4 separate regions of the Mus musculus genome follow, and all the other regions are reported to be linked to region 4. The links are microRNA targets in miRTarBase. Many come from high-throughput screens and were not tested one by one. Region 4 holds a microRNA gene; each other region holds the end of a gene's coding sequence.
Evidence for each region. Region 4 holds the annotated microRNA mmu-miR-5116 (UUUGAUAGGAACCCCGCCUGA, at 2,275-2,295, shown strand). A microRNA usually pairs through its seed, bases 2 to 8, with sites in the 3' UTR of a target mRNA and lowers its output. Matches are read on the target gene's strand: a 7mer-m8 pairs with bases 2 to 8, a 7mer-A1 pairs with bases 2 to 7 and ends in A, and an 8mer does both.

Region 1: the mRNA of Ccdc71 is a reported target of mmu-miR-5116. Seed matches in the 3' UTR shown: 7mer-A1 at 3,482-3,488.
Region 2: miRTarBase lists Isg15 as a target of mmu-miR-5116. Seed matches in the 3' UTR shown: 7mer-A1 at 3,799-3,805.
Region 3: miRTarBase lists Tnrc6c as a target of mmu-miR-5116. Seed matches in the 3' UTR shown: 7mer-A1 at 2,888-2,894, 7mer-A1 at 1,398-1,404 and 7mer-A1 at 1,192-1,198.

What each region holds. Positions count from the first base shown.
Region 1 is chr9:108,463,919-108,468,080 of GRCm38, reverse strand. Ccdc71 (coiled-coil domain containing 71) reads right to left here. Exons shown (of 2, transcript NM_133744.5): 2 at 2,135-4,162. The coding sequence ends at 3,790. Among named protein-coding and RNA genes, the nearest start is that of Ccdc71, 5.4 kb to the right of the region's middle.
Region 2 is chr4:156,195,667-156,199,828 of GRCm38, forward strand. It overlaps Isg15 (ISG15 ubiquitin-like modifier), which reads right to left. Exons shown (of 2, transcript NM_015783.3): 2 at 3,758-4,162. The coding sequence ends at 3,918. It overlaps Agrn (agrin), which reads right to left and starts at 1,822. Exons shown (of 36, transcript NM_021604.3): 1 at 1,548-1,822. The coding sequence starts at 1,754. Gm46878 (a long non-coding RNA gene) reads left to right here. Exons shown (of 4, transcript XR_003955191.1): 4 at 2,852-3,837.
Region 3 is chr11:117,760,150-117,764,311 of GRCm38, reverse strand. Tnrc6c (trinucleotide repeat containing 6C) reads right to left here. Exons shown (of 22, transcript NM_198022.2): 22 at 873-3,821. The coding sequence ends at 3,461. Among named protein-coding and RNA genes, the nearest start is that of Tmc6, 18 kb to the left of the region's middle.
Region 4 is chrX:56,586,025-56,590,186 of GRCm38, reverse strand. Mir5116 (microRNA 5116) reads left to right here and starts at 2,273; the gene lies at 2,273-2,335. Mmgt1 (membrane magnesium transporter 1) reads left to right here. Exons shown (of 4, transcript NM_146234.4): 4 at 884-4,162. The coding sequence ends at 1,043.

The DNA of each region.
Region 1 (4,162 bases), not on the chromosome of region 4:
CCTGCACTTGGAGGCCAGAGGGAGGCATCGGATCTGTTGCAACTGGAGTTATGAGTGGTTGTGAGCTATGCTGTGGGTGCTGAGAACCTAACCCTGGTCCTTTGCAACAGCAGTGAACTCTCTTAACAATAGAGTCATCTCTCAAGTTCCCAATCTTATGATTTTTAAAAGTTGCACTTGGGAGGCTGAGGCAAGTAATCTCTAGGAACTCAAGGTTAGCCTGGTCTATATAGCAAGCACCAGGTCCTTCAAAGCTACATAGTGAGACCCTGTCTCAAAGAGAGATGGAGGCATATATATGTGTTTATGTATACACACACACATATACTCATCCAACAGTCTTTACATAGCCCTGGCTATCTTGGAACTCACCAAGTAGACCAGGTTGGCCTTGAAATGACAAAAAACTACCAGTCTCTTGTCTCCTGAGTGCTGGGATTAAAGGTGTATTCTACCACACCCAGCAAGAGATGAGGTTAACATTTTTTAAAATATTTATTTATGTATGAGTACACTGTAGCTGTACAGATGGTTATGAGACATCATGTAGTTGCTGGGAATTGAAATCTGGACCTCTGCTCACTCCTGCCCCACTTGCTGTGGTCCAAAGATTTATTTATTATTATATGTAAATACACAGTAGCTGTCTTCAGACACACCAGAAGAGGGCAGCAGATCTCATTATGGATGGTTGTGAGCCACCATGTAGTTGCTGGGATTTGAACTCAGGACCTAAGGAAGAGTAGTCAGTGCTCGTAACCTCTGAACCATCTCTCCAGCCCCCGAGGTTAAAACTTTTTAATGTGGGTGCCCATGGAGAACAGAAGAGGGAATCAGATGCCCTGAAGCTGGGTTATAGGTGGTTGTGAGACACCTAATGTGAGCATTGGGAACCAAATTCTAGTCCTAGATTTGTGTGTGAGGGCAGCACATGTTCTTAAGTACTGAGCCTCCATCTTAGTTTTCCAGACAGTTTTCATTGAAGGTAGTTTTGTCATTTTGGCTAGAATGGCTGTTCGGTGAGTCCTAGGTCCTGCCTCTGTCCGGCAGTACCTGGCATTTTGTTTAGTTCTGGAGACCTGAACTTAACCCTTCATGCTTGCATGAAAAGAAAATACCTCCTAAAGCATCTCCCAGCCCAGTCTACTTAGTCTTCTTCTTGTTGGAAAGTCGAAAGTCAGTAGATGTATCTTCTTATTCATTTATAGGTGTATAAGTGTTGTGAATATTTTGTTGTTTAAAAAAAAAAAAACAGAGGGGGCTGGAGAAAGGGCTCAGCAATTAAGAGCACTGACTGCAGCTGGGTATTGGTGGTACAGGCCTTTAATCCCAGCACTTGGGAGGCAGAGACAGGTGGATTTCTGAGTTTGAGGCCAGCCTGGTCTACAGAGTGAGTTCCAGGACAGCCAGGGCTACACAGAGAAACCCTGTCTTGAAAGACAATCAAACAAACAAACAAAAAAGAGCACTGACTGCTCTTCCAGAAGTTCTGAGTTCAATTCTCACAACCACATGGTGGTTCACAACCATCTGTAATGGAATCCAATGTTCTCGTCTGGTCTGTTGAAGACAGCAACAGTGTACTCATATACATAAAATAAACCTTAAAAAAAACCCACAGAAATGTAAGAATATGCTTTCATGTTAATCCCAGGTATAGGATGTGGGGCTGCTTCAGACCGTCCACAGCAGCTGATGTGCCTCATGCTCTAGCAGGGGCATGATTTTGCCAACTGCAGGTAGTTTCTGCAATGGTGTGATGTTTGGAATTCTGGGGACTTTTCACAGGGTATATAAATGTTAGGCCCCAAAGGTAGGTTGGTGGCCAAAGTTTGTTAAGTAGTCATGTGCAAAGAAGAAATTAGATATCCTGATGGCAAAGATCAAATTTGTCCCAATGCCCCTAGTCAGCAGGGAGTAATATAATGATAACTTTGCCCCCTTTTCCTTCTATCCTTTTCTCTTCTATCTAGTGTTAAGGTGTCAAAAGGGTGGAAGAAAAAAAGAACCCACAAACTAGCCAAAGTTCAGCTCAGAGGTGTTTTACCTGCATGCATGTAACCACAGATCTGTCCTGGGAATTGAACCCAGGTCCTTTTAGAGCAACCAGTGCTCTTAGCCTCTGAGCCATCTCTCCAGCCTGGCCAATAAGTATTTATTTAAGGTATTTCACACGATTCTTTTGCTTATCAACATCACTGAAGTTCAAGATTCTCAACACCACCTTTTCTCAAAGAACTGATGCTTAATTCAGCTGTGCCATTGGTCTTTTTTAAAAGATTTATTTGTATTGTCTGTCTGCCTGTGATCATGGATGTGAGATCCCTGGAGATGGATACAGGTGTCTGCCTGTGATCATGGATGCGAGATCCCTGGAGATGGATACAGGTGTCTGCCTGTGATCATGGATGCCAGATCCCTGGAGATGGATACAGGGGTCTGTGAGCTGCCTTTTGTGGGAGTCGCAAAAGGGTCTTCTGGGAAAGCAGCTAAATCCTCTTAACCAGTAGAGTTAAGCCATTCATTCGCCTGGCTTGGTCTGGTGGCCCATGCCTTTAATTCCCGTGATTGGCCAGAGGCAGACAGATCTCTGAGTCTGAGGCCAGCCTGGACTACAAAGTTAAGTTCTAGGACAGCTGGGGCTACACAGAGAAACCCGGTCTCAAAAGACAAACAAAAGACAGGCAGAGAGGGTCTCACTATGTGGCTGATACTGACCTCAAACTCAGTCAAATCCCCAAGTACAAGGATTGCAGGTTCTCCACCTCAGCACTACCTTCCAGCCTGAGCAGCTGCTTCCACTGAGGGCCCAGCTTCTCCAAAGCAGAAGCTACCAATGTCCAATGTGTACGGGTCACGTTAGGGGACATGGTGAGGCTGGACCCCGGAGAAAGATGGAGCCTGTGGAAATGAGTCAGTCCCTGGTTCCATCACCCGTTACCACAGAGAAAATGCTCTGGACAGTAAGGAAGGTTTTGTGGTCCAGATTCAGAGCCTAGCCTCTTGTCACCAATTGGGAAAATTGAGGCTAGTCCCTGTAAAGCAGAAAAGAGGCACTTCAAGCCTCTTAAGTATGTTTCCTCCGCCAAGAGAAGCTCAGGCAAAACCTTAAAGCTGGGCCTCCGGAGAGCAACACCACAAAGACTTCTTTCCCTGGCCTAAAAACCTGCTTGGTGCCGGATTTCCCACTGAGCTGCAAACAATTTTGAATCAGGCCCATCTGGTTCAAAACTGGGACATTCGAGGAGAGGTAGTGGCTCTAACCCTCCCCTCAGGATCTCTCTCAACACATTCCCAGAAACCAGCACCTGATTTTCCCCATATCTCTCCAGAACCCCGAGAACATCACTTTAATGTCACCCTATCATTTAAATTGATGACCTGCTTCAAGCTACCAGGGCACTCTCTCCAAGCCTGCTCCTAGACTCCTGATAGCCTCTTGCCACTAACTCCCACACACCAAAAAAAAAATTTTTTTTTTTTTGATAAATAAGACCATGGAGGGTGAGCAAGGAGACCGCAAGGTGGAAAGGTATAAAACATGATAGAATGAACGTGGACATACAATCTGAAGAACAAGTCACAGTGCACTGAGCCATGAGAACACCCCTCCCGCAAACCACCCCACCCAAATCCTCCGTTTCTGAAAGGATGTTGGTGACCAGTCCCGAGGTCCCCAGGATCCGGGAAGCAGCAGGGTCCTGAGCACTACACAATGCACTGGTCACACAGACAGCTCCGCTGTTTTCCCAAGTACTGCTGCAAGGGCTTGGGATGTTGAGTATGGGATCAAAATGGTAGCAAGGGCTGGAGCCATACCACGGGAGAGAGATTCACACGGAGGATCTGCTGGGCACACTGTCGGACCTCGTCATCTGAGCACTTCCTGTCTACCTTTATGGTCTGGGACTTTCGAGGTTTTGCCGTTCCAGGCCCCAGCCACACCTTAGGAGGTCGGGGCACACACCGTGCTCTCTTCTTAGGAGGAAGACCCTTGGTCTCCTCGGCCTTCTTCCTCTTCCGCCCCACAGTCTCAGAGCTGTTTTTCCGGTTTGCCCTTCCAGTTCTGGTCTGAACCGATCCCTTTGGCTTTCCCTTGTGCTTGGTCTGGGCTGCTTTGGCCTTGGCCTGGATTACCTTGTCTTTTGCCTTGTCCCTCACC
Region 2 (4,162 bases), not on the chromosome of region 4:
ACCTACTGGATTCAGGATGACATAAGAAGGCTAACAATCATCTAACCATCTAACAATTGTCCCACCTCAGGTCTATCCAGCCCAAGTCCAACTCTAAGGGTCCAGTCAGGACCAGACACTTTAGGTGAAAGGACTTAAGAGCAAGATCCCAGCTGGGATCTTCACAGCCTTGTGTGGGCCAACACCTCTCCCAGGAAGTAAAGACCCACTTCTTTGCTCCATAGTCTGCCTGAGTCTGTGCAGCGAGGCAGCTCTGAGCCACAAAGTCAAGTTTGGGCAATGCAAGTCAGCCCCACCCTCCACCTCCTTATTTAGGGCCCCGAGGGCACCCTTTCTGACAGACATGGCTGGAAGATGTAGCCCGCAGCGCCCACAGGATAAGTCCAGGGCCCCCAGACACTTTTTGGAAAGGATTTCTAGGAAGGAGCCCCTTATTGAGGCGCTCTGGGGATTTGGGGTTCTGGAATGGAGGGAGCAAAAAAGACAATGGGCAGCTTTTCCACCTGCCTAGCTCCTGCGAGACACCTAAGACTTGCAGCACCTAAAGAACTTTATCTACCTGCGCCCCCCACCCCCAACTATTGTGGGAGATAACCCAAAGGGGGAAAGCTCACAGTTCTCACACCTCCCCCACCCCAGCCACACCCAGGAGCAGCGGGGAGGAAGTCGGGAAAATCCTGCAGGGACTTGGCAAAGTGCCTCGGCAGGGAGAGGAGGGGGCCCAGCGGGGGGATCCCATGAACACACGGTACTCTGAAGGAAGTCACCATCCTTCTCATTCCCAAAGAGTAAGAACAAATCCTGTTTCCAGCGAAGCGATTTGAGGGACGAGGAGAACCAGCAACGGATATTCCGAGGGTATCGACCCCATACCTATTCCAAGGTGCTCTCAAATTCAGCTGCAGTTGAAACAGAGCTAATTCTACCGTATGGCAGGAGAAACCCAGTCCTTTGAGCCCCTGCGCCTCGAGCACAGGAAACTCAGCCACAGCCCTCTGCCCATTTCTCTGCTCCGGCTCGGACACGCGTTCGCTGCAGCACCTTACGCAGGCTCCCCGGGTTGCAGATTAGACCACACACCCCTGACTCCCTGCAGACCACCCCTCGCCCTGGTAAAGGCCTCGCCACAGGTCGACTTCGTCCCCCCTCGTGCCTCCCCGAGCCCTATTCGTTCCTTTTGGCGAAGGTGTACACTTGTTCCCAACAAGAAAGAGGGGCTCTGGACAAGGGTGGGGGCGGGCACGACAGCAACCGGGGCCTGGACGCCGTGAAAGGAGCCACAGCGGCCCCGCAGTAACTTTCGCACCGAGCGGCGGAGTTTTCCGGGACCCGAGCGCCCCCCCCCCCCGGAGGCTCGGCGGTCGCCGAGGGAGCTCCAGCTGGGGCCGCAGAAACGTGCCGGGTTCGTTCCCACGGCTTGGGGACGGGGTCGCAGCGGGGCGGCCGGCACGCGAAGGGCGGGCCTCGGGGACGGGGACCACGGGGGAGAGGAGCCCCGGGCTGGGAATCCAGAGGGCTGGGTCTCGTGGGGTCCGGCCGGGGCCCACCTTGCAGGAGTAGGTGTGCTGCACCGGGTCCACGTTGAGGATCTCCTCCACTGTGCCGGTGAGCACCACGTTCGCCTCCTCCTCGCGCCGCTCCAAGGCGCGCTCCGGGCACGTCCCGCTGGCGCCCGGCACGGCTGGCGCGGCCGCCGCCAGGAGCAGCAGCAGCGGCAGCAGCGGGGCCGGGAAGCTCAGCCGCGGGCGGACCATGGCGCAGCCCGGAACGGCGGGAGGGAGCCGGGAGAGCGCGCGGGCCGGACCGCTCGGGGGGCAGGACTGGACCGCAGCGCGGCGGAGGAGGAGGGAGGGCGGACGGCGTGGGTGGGGCGGGGACTGGGCGGGGACGGGGCGGGGACGGCGTGGGTGGGGCGGGGACTGGGCGGGGACGGGGCGGGGACTGGGCGGGGACTGGCGGCCCCGCCCCGCCCCCTGAGGGCTCAGCCCGCCCCCCGCTCCCTGCGACCCGCGCGGGCAGCGAACAAAGCCCGGAGACTGCGGCGCCCGCCGAGCTGGGGCGGGGGCTCGGCCGGGTGGGTGGGTGGGTGGCCGCCTTGGGGGAGGGGGAGGCGTCGCGCCGGGGCCCCTCCCCCGTCCGCCTGAACTGTCCTCCCACCGGGAAATGCAGCTGAAGTCAGGTTGATGTATAATCGAGGGGCGACGTGCTGGGAATTCCAAGGGGCTCGCCCGGTCTGCACAGGAGACGCTGGCGGAGCCGGACCTTCCCTTCCCCAGCCTGACGCTAGGGCTGCGCGCAGAGGGCCCCGCGGCTGTCCCGGTGCCACCACAGGCCACGCCCCCTGCCGATGGCCGGTCAGCGGTGACTGTGCCGAATGCGCCCAGACCCGCCCAGTGTGATGCTCCTTGTGGACTTAAGTCTTCTCCAGTCTTGCTACAGAACCGTCCCCGCCCCCTCCGTCTCTCCCTCTGTGGACCAGAGCTTCCCCAGCTTGGCCTGGCTAAGTGCAGGATATAAACCGAGGCCCCCGGGAGCCAAGCTAGCACTAGACCTACAGGAGGTTGAAAGAACGCGCAGGGCGGTGGTGGCGCACTCGGGAGGCAGAGGCAGGTGGATTTCTGAGTTCGAGGCCAGCCTGGTCTACAAAGTGAGTTCCAGGACAGCCAGGGCTACACAGAGAAACCCTGTCTCAAAAAACCAAAAACAAAACAAACAAACCGAGAGAATGGGTGGGGGGGGGGGGGATAGGGGATTTTCTGGATAGCATTTGAAATGTAAGTGAAGAAAAAAATTTTGGAAAAAAAAAAAAACAAAAAAAAAACGAGAGAAGACACTATGCTATCTTCCATAGGCTGTTGAGCCAGAAGCCAGAGTGAAGTGTGAGTGTCAGCAGCTCTTCCTCCTGAGAAAGACTCCACCTTCTGGACCCAGATTTGAGGTCGCATCTACACAGTGGGCTCCAGCGTTGCTAGATCTGGCATCACCTAATCCAGATAAGCACAAACACACCAACCAGAAGGGGGTCTTCTGAGGTTCCACTCAAATTCTCTTAAAGGTCTGAAGGACCACAGAAGGACTTGTACTGACTTGCTTGTGCCCTAAGCGCACTCAAAGGCCCGAGTAAGCTGATAGAGGAAAAGACAAAGAGCCATCAGGCAGAAAGGGGGGTGAAGCTTTTTCAAATTGGGTGCCTCCTATCTGAGACATGATGTCCTTTGTGGACAGATGAGCCTCCAATTACTTGTGCCCATCTAACCTGCCTATAGTGGCCTCTTTATAGCCCCGATGAGGATGAGGTGTACTTGCTAACTACCATGTCCTAAACAGCAGGTGGCTGATTTGAATGGTGAGACCCCATCCTACCCTCTGTGAACTAGTGCAGGTGGGACTAGGAACACATACAAAAGAACACATCACCCTCCTTCACAGCTTACCCAGGTAAGAACATTCCTTCACTGTTCCCAAAGGATCTCAGCAGTTCACTGGTTCCATTAGGAGCCTCATCCTGCTACTGGTAGAAACTGGCCTAACCTGTCCCTGAGCCATATGTAGACATGGGGACATTTTTAGGGCCTGGCTGAGACTAAGGACTGGGTCCCAGCAAAAGTGTCTTTCTCCAGAAGTGAATTAATTACTCAAAGGGTCTGGAAGGGGCATTTCCTCACTAGGCTCTCACTGTGAAATCCTTGTCTCTTAACTTGGCAACCCAGAGCCTTCTCACCATGGATAGAAGGGCATTTCTGGAGAGGGACAAGCAAACAAGAGGCAGAGCTTTTTATTGCATCATCTTTTTTTTTTTTTGATATTTTTTCTAATTAGGTATTTTCCTCGTTTACATTTCCAATGCTATCCCAAAAGTCCTCCATACCCCCCCCCCCATCATCTTTTATAACCAACACTGGCTCTGGATGGGGGCCTTAGGCACACTGGTCCCCTCCCCCACCCCTCAGGCGCAAATGCTTGATCACTGTGCACTGGGGCTTTAGGCCATACTCCCCCAGCAGCTCCTTGTCCTCCATGGGCCTTCCCTCGAAGCTCAGCCAGAACTGGTCTTCGTGGACTTGTTCCCGCTGGGACACCTTCTTCTTAAGCGTGTCTACAGTCTGCGTCAGAAAGACCTCATAGATGTTGCTGTGGCCCCTTTCGTTCCTCACCAGGATGC
Region 3 (4,162 bases), not on the chromosome of region 4:
CAGCCACTGCTGCTTTACCCCTAAGAGACGAAAGTACCTGAGCCGCAGGCTGCTACTAGTCTGGCCTTGCCTGCTCTTCCGCTGGTGCTCTGGCCAGCAGAGCTGCAGTTCTTGGAAGATCAAGGGCAGCGTGCCATTCTGAGTCTCGTTCTTCCTCTGGTCTTTGGGTTCTCCTGGGGCCAGGGGCCTCCTCAGTGATTTTCTTAGCAGAACTAGCAGCTCCTGTTCTTTCCTGAGTCCCCTGGTAGGCCAGGGCTCATCCTCAGCACATAGTGGGTCGATATTCGAGGGTGAAAGCTGACATCATGTTTCTACTTCCCGTGTCACCCATGATCCTGCTGGCAGCCATGCCATTTTGTGCACATTAGCCACTATGGTTTTAGGGGAAAGAGATCAATAAAACACTTGGGAAGCACATGTTGGGTCTTGCTGTGTTGTCTGACTTGGTCTTGAGCCTGTGGACTCAGGCACAGCCTCTTGTGTGCTGGGACTGCAGATACATACCACTGGTTTTTTCCAGATAGTGTTGGGGATGGAACTAGGGCCTTGTGCCTGCACACGAAGACCACTGAGCGACACCCCAGCCTCTCCATTACGATTACTGTTTTTTCTTAAAATGCTGGCACTGGGCGTGTGAGTGACTGTGGGGTGGTGGTCCTGGGAGGACGTGGAAGCTGGGACGCCTCCCAATGGCTACTAAAAGGATCCACTATTCGCAGCAGAACCAAAGAGCAAAGGCTACATACAAACACCTCAAATGGCCCAGACTGCGAGTTTCGGCAGAGACGAGTACAAACTCAGCAGAGACATAGTAGGCTGTCTCCACACATGAAAAGGAAGCACCTGCCTTTCACAGATGAAAGACACAGCAATTACATCAATAGCCAAGAAAAACTGCAGTTTATTAAGACTCAACAAAGCGCTGTTATTTTTCGAAAGCAACCTCCGGTGTGCGTCCAACCATCACATTCCAAGAGGAGGGCATTAAGCGCCACAAACTTTTTCTTTTAATCTTAGAGTCAGAGACATTTAAAATTCAAAAGGATCAAAAAGGAAAAAGAGGGGAAAGCCCACAAAAACTGGGAACATCTTTTCCTTCCATCCCCAGTTTTAAAACATGAGTTTTTCTACAACTCAGTGCTAAATGGCAGCATGGCAAGCTGTGCGTCTGGGAGCGCGCACACGCACGTATTTGATATACATACTTGGATATACATACATCAAATATCTAGGACGCACGTAATGGCGATGAGATGCAGTCACTCTGAGGAGGGCCATTCCGTGGGATACATAACAAAACTCGAACAAGTTTTGAACCCAGTTGTGCATAGTTCCTGATCCTCTAAGAAAGCACTGCGTTGCTGCAACCGTGCAGGACTTGCTTGCTTGCTTTCTGTTTTGATAAAACCATTAAAAAGCTAATTAAAAAATGTAATGCACAAGTTTCCCGACCACGTAGGCAGGGAGTACAATGTTCATATACTTTTCTAAAACATACTTGAGGGTGTGTGATTTCATTGTCTTTCTTCCTTGTAAAACAATCAAAACATTGATCATCTTTAAAACATAAAGCAATTTTTAATATATAAAGCACTCTTCAAACATCTATTTCTTTTGAGTCCATTATTTGGTAAATATGTAACTGCTACACATTAGAGATTAGGTATTTTTCTTCTTTGTGTGTGTGTGTGTGTTTTTTTCTTTTCTTTCTTTTTTTTTCTCTCTCTTTTTTTTTTTTTTTTTTTTTAAATAACATCTTCAGTGCTAGGAGTTGGGTTTAAAAATACATGAAGTGGTGTGGCACCGCCCTCGGGAGCCCTGGCGTTCCTGAGAGCGAGCTGGCGTGTGCAAGACAGAGACCACGAGGCCCTGTCACCTTGAGGAGGGGTGAAGACAGTCCACAGAGTCCGCGCACGCGCGACGGCTGGAGGGGAACAGCATGTCCCATCCCAGAGCTCTGGAGCAACACATCTGTATCTGAAAATAGGTTGCTGTTTGTTTGCTTGTTTGTTTTAAATGATGGAAGTCTTTTTTTTTTATTCCTTTTAACATTTTTAAAATTTTTTTAAAATTTTATTTTAAAGTCTGAAGGAGGAAAAAAAAAAAAAAAAAGTCTGTAAACAGGTGGGAGCCCAAACACAGCTCCTCCAAAAGCAGTCACCACCACGTCCAAGTGCTCGGCCGGCCGCCCGCCCGCCCGCGCCTCGTGCGCGGCACCAGTCTCTACAAGTATCTATGGCCACAGTTCAACAAGAGTTTGTTTTTCTCTTTAACTTTATATTGCAGATGGGAAGTGGTGCAATACTCTGGTAATAATCTTCTGCATGAGTCCACAATGACAAGCTGCTGAAGTAGACAGACACATCATTTCTCCAGAGATATACACTGCGACTTTAAATGCAACAACAGAGTCCTTGAGTAAACATTTACACATGAATTGTCACCAGCCCTGTCCCGAGAATTCTCTTTACTGTTTAGGATTAGCTAAAGGAAGGGCAGAGACACCTCAGTGCAAAGTTAGAAGCAAATAACAACAATGAGAACATTTGACCAATGCCAAAAACAAAAAACAAAACAAACAAAAACAAAAACCCCCAAAAAAACCAAAACCAAAAGCATATACTGACTAGAAGGGAAACCCACAGTTAAGTCCCTCACACACTCAAGTGCGCACGCACGCACAGGAAGCCCTGCCTGTGCAAGAACACACTCACACACACTCTTCTGCACACCGCACCACACAAGCACACAAGCACACGCACTCACGCATACACGCACATGTAGGCTATGAACGTAGACATTTCCTAGAGCCTGTTTCTGTGCACGGATGTCAACGTGGAAGTGTTCACATTTCGGTATTGGCCTGCTGGGTTCAAGTATTTGCATGTTTGATATGTCTTTTTTTTTTTAACTTTTAAAAAATATTTTTTTGGGATAAAAAAAAATGACATGAAAAGGTAACGAAACGAGGGTAATGTGCGCAGGCGATCGGGGGGACAGAGCACTGGCCACACGCCTCAGCTCTGTGCCCGCACAACGCAGCCCAGCCGCCTGTCCCGCCTACCGCCTCTGTAATGTGCATAATCGTCACAGGCTCACTTTAAATAGGCTTCAAGTCTCCCCCCACCCCACCATAAAATAACCCTTTCCAGCCCACAATCTGAAAAGTGCCCTTCATGATAGAACTATTCTAAGCAGCTTTTATACTTAAAACTCAAAATGGCAGCGCACTGTACAAACCTAAGACGACATGAAATAAAAAGCTATGAGAGACGTCCTGTCCTTAGCACATGACACTGACCAACCTCAGCCCGCACTGTCTTCAACAGTTCACAGGGGCCGAGGCCAAGGTTCATCTTCAGACTGGACAGAGGTACTCCAAGGGGCAGCTTGTCCGTCAGCTGGAGCTTCGGAGCCGGCCCTGGCATGGTCAGCTCTCTTCCCCCAGTGACCGTGGCCCCTAGATGGACTCGCCGCTGAGCAGGTCCCCAGGCAGCAGAGTGTTGAGAGGCGTGGGGCTGCCGATCACTCTGGCGTCCTCAGCACTGGGCGGGCCCCACAGGCTGCTGGAGTACTGGGGGACCCCACCCCACAGCAGCTCACTGCTGCCTTTGCCACTCAGGCATGGGGTGTTCCAGTGGGCAGTGTCGCTGCGCACTAGGCCATGGGTGCTGCCCGAGGTGCCCAGTCTGGGCTGGCTGCCCCCGCTGCTGGACTGCCAGCTGGAGGTGGGTGGGAGGGCTTGGCCTTGGGCCAGGAACCGGTTCACTTCTTCTTCCCCGGCAAACTCAGCCAAGATGGTGGTGTTTCCCAGTACACACCTACAAGGCAAGAGGCTGGGTAAGTATGTCACCCTTCGTCCTGAGTCTGTACTACTCGTGAAGACGGATAAAAGGATCGCCACGTCCCAGGCTACCAGCCTGTGCCTGTGTCTCCCTCACTTTAGACTCCCACAGCCACAGAAGACTCATGTGTGGAGTGTGCGTTTCAAAGTGCTGCACAGGGGCTGGCGAGATGGCTCAGCGGTTAAGAGCACTGACTGCTTGTCCAAAGGTCCTGAGTTTAAATCCCAGCAACCACATGGTGGCTCACAACCACCTGTAATGAGATCTGACGCCCTCTTCTGGAGTGTCTGAAGACAGCTACAGTGTACTTAGATATA
Region 4 (4,162 bases):
CCTGTGGAGGCCAGAGGGAATTGAATTCCCCTGGAATTGGAAGTAGAGGTGCTTAGGAGCCACCCACCCAGCATGGTTGCTGAGAACTAAACCCTGTTCTCTGCAGGAGCAGTACACGTTTTTAATCCTTGAGCTGCCTCTCAAATATTTCCATTTTGAAGGTATTCTTGGGTGGTTAAATGGGGCTAACTTTGAGATTTGGTCTTTTTTTTCCATAAAGAGAAGATTCTCTGGTTTTTTTCAGAAAATAATATTTCAAAGCAAACACTAAAAGTGTTTAAATTAATACTTTTTTAATTTTTTAAATTAATTAAATTAGTGTTTTGAGAAGCCATTAATATCTCAAGATGTTTATGGACTTTTCTAGAGGATACAAATCTCACTGGAAGAGTCTTTGAAGGATCTCAGGCAAGGAGCCAAACCAAATGGCATCAAGTAAGGGGCAGCAGAATCGATGAGTTTGGTCAATAGTACATACAGAAGGCCAAACGGGATTTCATTGTACCTGAAAAACAGATCCGTGAAATCTCATATGGCTTGAAATATCTATGACTTAAGGCCAAAGGAGAATAATCAGAGGTGCAGTGTGTGTGCTGGCATGGAAAGGTGGTATGGTGATTGAAGTTCATCTAGAATGTGTGTGTTATTATTGCTAGACATTCCTGGGAGAATGGCTGAAGAAAAGAAAGTCTGAGAACTTTATGGTCATTTCCAAGTTTCATATATTCTCTGTATAGGAAAAAATATACAGTACAGTGTGATTACTATTTATAGTTTAATTTGTAATTCACAACAAATTCGTAATTCATTAGAAGCCTGCTTACTTTTCAAATGGGCTTTTATAAAGGTTTATCTAAAAATTGGTGTTCTTTTTTCTTTTAAGGACATTTGATACCTTAAGGAATCACCCATCTTTTTATGTGTTTAACCATCGTGGTCGAGTGCTGTTCCGGCCTTCAGATGCAACAAATTCTTCAAACCTAGATGCATTGTCCTCTAATACATCGTTGAAGTTACGAAAGTTTGACTCACTGCGCCGTTAAGCTTTTTACAAATTAAATAACAGGACAGACACAGAATTGAGTATTGGAGTTTGGGGTGTAAAACACTCCCCCCAAGATCAGTATTTATATTGCTATTTCAGAGCTAGTTAAACTAATCTATGGGCCCTTGTTTATATATTATCGATCCGATCAAATGGAGTATGAATTATCTGTGAAATGAGTCTTTGAACTTTCGTATAGAGTTCTTTTGTTGATTTGAAACAATTCCCATGTTTTGTAAAAGTCACTGTTTCAAACATAATTCCCTGAAAAAATGTTCGGATTTTTGTGATTATTTATTTTCATAGATTTCTTTTCTTTTGCACTACAGTTTTTAGGAATCCTGGAAATACCATATACCATCTGTGTTTTGCAGCACAAGAATCAAATGGTCTTCAGTTCTTATCAGACCAACTTCTTTAAGAAGACCAAAATGGTGACTTTACAGTTTTTCTTTGGTCCCCTAAAAAGTGACTCTACTTTTACAGATACTTGCCAATTTTTACTTTATTAATGGTTTCTCTCCGGACTCCACTCCCTGATACTGTCTAACATAAGCTGTCTTGTTTCATCATTTCTAGGATTCTGTGTGCAGTGAGCAATTTTTGTGTCAGAAATTCTATCATAACATATATATTTAACAAGCTCATCTTGCTGTAAAACTACTCATGTTCTTTTGTTGTAAAATTTTCACTGATTGTATAATGTAAGACTAGTTGAAAGTAGACCAAAAAGACAACTTGTGACTTCATTATCTTGCCTGAGTAGAATAGTATTGATTGAGGAAAACTGATCGTCATTAGCCAGTCTCACTCATTATAAGTCTGTTGGTTTATGTTGTACTAAACTAGTGAATTAGTGAAAGTAAAGGAAATGGCTCATTTTATCTAAAGGCACATGTGCAAAGAAACTGGGCCAAATATGTTCTAAATATTTGGAGTTCATCTATTTGAATTCTCTTAGAAAATTCAGGTCATTTAGGAAGTTGGTTCTCAGCTTCTGACTGAGAGCTGGCCTGGAGCTTCCCATCTTCACTCTGCGGTGCTGAGGGGGAGGATGACATGCCATTGGATGCTTTTCAGAAACAGTAGTTTACTCTGACAACATTGGAGTAGCTTTTTCAGCTAGAAAGCTAAGAAGCTCAACATTACTGTAGAGATTATTGCTTCCCACGAGCATGAACACATTACTTGTGTTAAACTCTATAGGTGTAAAGGGAATCACTGCGGATTTTGATAGGAACCCCGCCTGATGCTTTTTGGTTTGTTTCAGGCAGGGTCTTCATATCGAGAAGCTCTTTTACTTGGTAGCATTTTTTGATTAGGAATGAACCTCAGCCTTTCTGCCCAGTCATACAGAGCCTCAAAGGCCAAGGTTATTTTGTCATTTCTTTGTTGGTTTTGGTTTTTGTTTGTAAACAGGATTCCGTATAACCTGAGCTAGCCTCAAATGTACTATGTAGCCGAGGATGATCCTCATGCCTCCACCGTGTCAGTGCTAAGATTATAGGTGCTGTCACTACACCTGGTTTTTTGAGATCCTGGGCACTGAACCCAGGGCCTCATGCATGCTAGGCAAGCACTATACCAGCTGAACTACATCCCAGGCCCTTGACATTGAATTATGATTCTTGAGCTCTGTTTTGCTAACTAAGTCTATGGAGCATTGACTGTTCTCTAATGAGAACAAACTTGGAAATCTGCTGATTACCTACAATAATTTAGACATAGGCTAAAAGTGTGAAGTCAAGCCAGGTGTGGTGGCATGTGCTTGTAATCCTAGCACTTACAAGGCTGAAACAGGATCACAAGTTTAGGGCAGAACTGGGCTATCTTAATGAACCCCTGTCTTAACCCCAACCCCCAAAAAGCGAACCCAAGGACTAATGCGATAGCTAAATCAAAATGGCGTGCAGGACGCATGCTGTACATCAGGCTTTTCTGCCATACTCCTCGACTATTACTTGACTGAAGAGCCTCTTGTTTTCTTCTCCTTGGAGACTGTTTTCCCTTCTTAATGTGTTTTCATAACAATGTTACTGAGAATCTGCGTGTTTTGTACTTCCATTCTTTAAAGGATGTATAATTGCCAGATGTGGCTCATGCCTATAATACTAACACTCAGGAGGCTAAGGCAGGAAAGTTTTCACACAGGTTCAAGACCAGAATTAGATACACAGTGAGACCTTATCTTTAAAGAAGTTATACAAATTTTAAAGGGTACAATTAAGTAACTTTAAATATACTCACAAAATTATGCAACCACTTGATAAATCTAGGCCATTTCACTCCTCTCCAAGAAGCCCTGTATTCTTTAGTAGTCACCTCTGATTTCCTCCCAGTTTGTCCCACGTAGGTCCTAGGAAACCAATAGTTTATTATATGCATAATCTGATCATTTACTATAAATGAGTTAATGCAATATTTAGTCACTTAGTTTCATAAATATGGTTTCCTACGTGGGATAAATGCTCATTCTGAGAACTCAGAACCCAGTACAGTGACAGAAAGTGTCTGGGTTTGTAAATCTGGTAGGAAGCTTGCCTAGCACGTGCGAGACCCTAGGCTCACTCACAGTATCCCAGGAAAAAAAAAAGCTAGTTGATAAATCAATGGATTTAAAGAGGGAAAGCCAGATACCTGGCAGACTCTAGAGTTAATCTTATTAAATAGAGTACTTTTCCTCCTAGCCAAACATTCATTCTATACTACTGCTTCTAACTTACATTCTAGTTCCTCCCAGCTCTGCTTTGGTTTTGCCAAGACAGGGTTTCTCTGTGTAGCCCTGGCTATTCTGGAACTCACTTTGTAGACCAGGCTAGACTCCAACTCACAGAGATCCACCTGCCTCTGCCTTCCAAGTGTTGGGATTAAAGGCGTGCACCATCAGTGCCCAGCCCATTCTCGTTTCTACAATGGATATTAAAATGTCTTCTTGTCTTCTCAGCCAAGAAAATCCTGCTTAAAAAAATGCTAAAACATTTGGCCGATAACTGACATGGTAAATTTATTTAGACGTGTCCACCTTTGGACAGCTTGCATACCTCAGACCAGGTAAATAGCCCCAGGTTTTTAAATCGACTTCATTGAATTTCTGCTATCTTCTTGAAATATGGTACT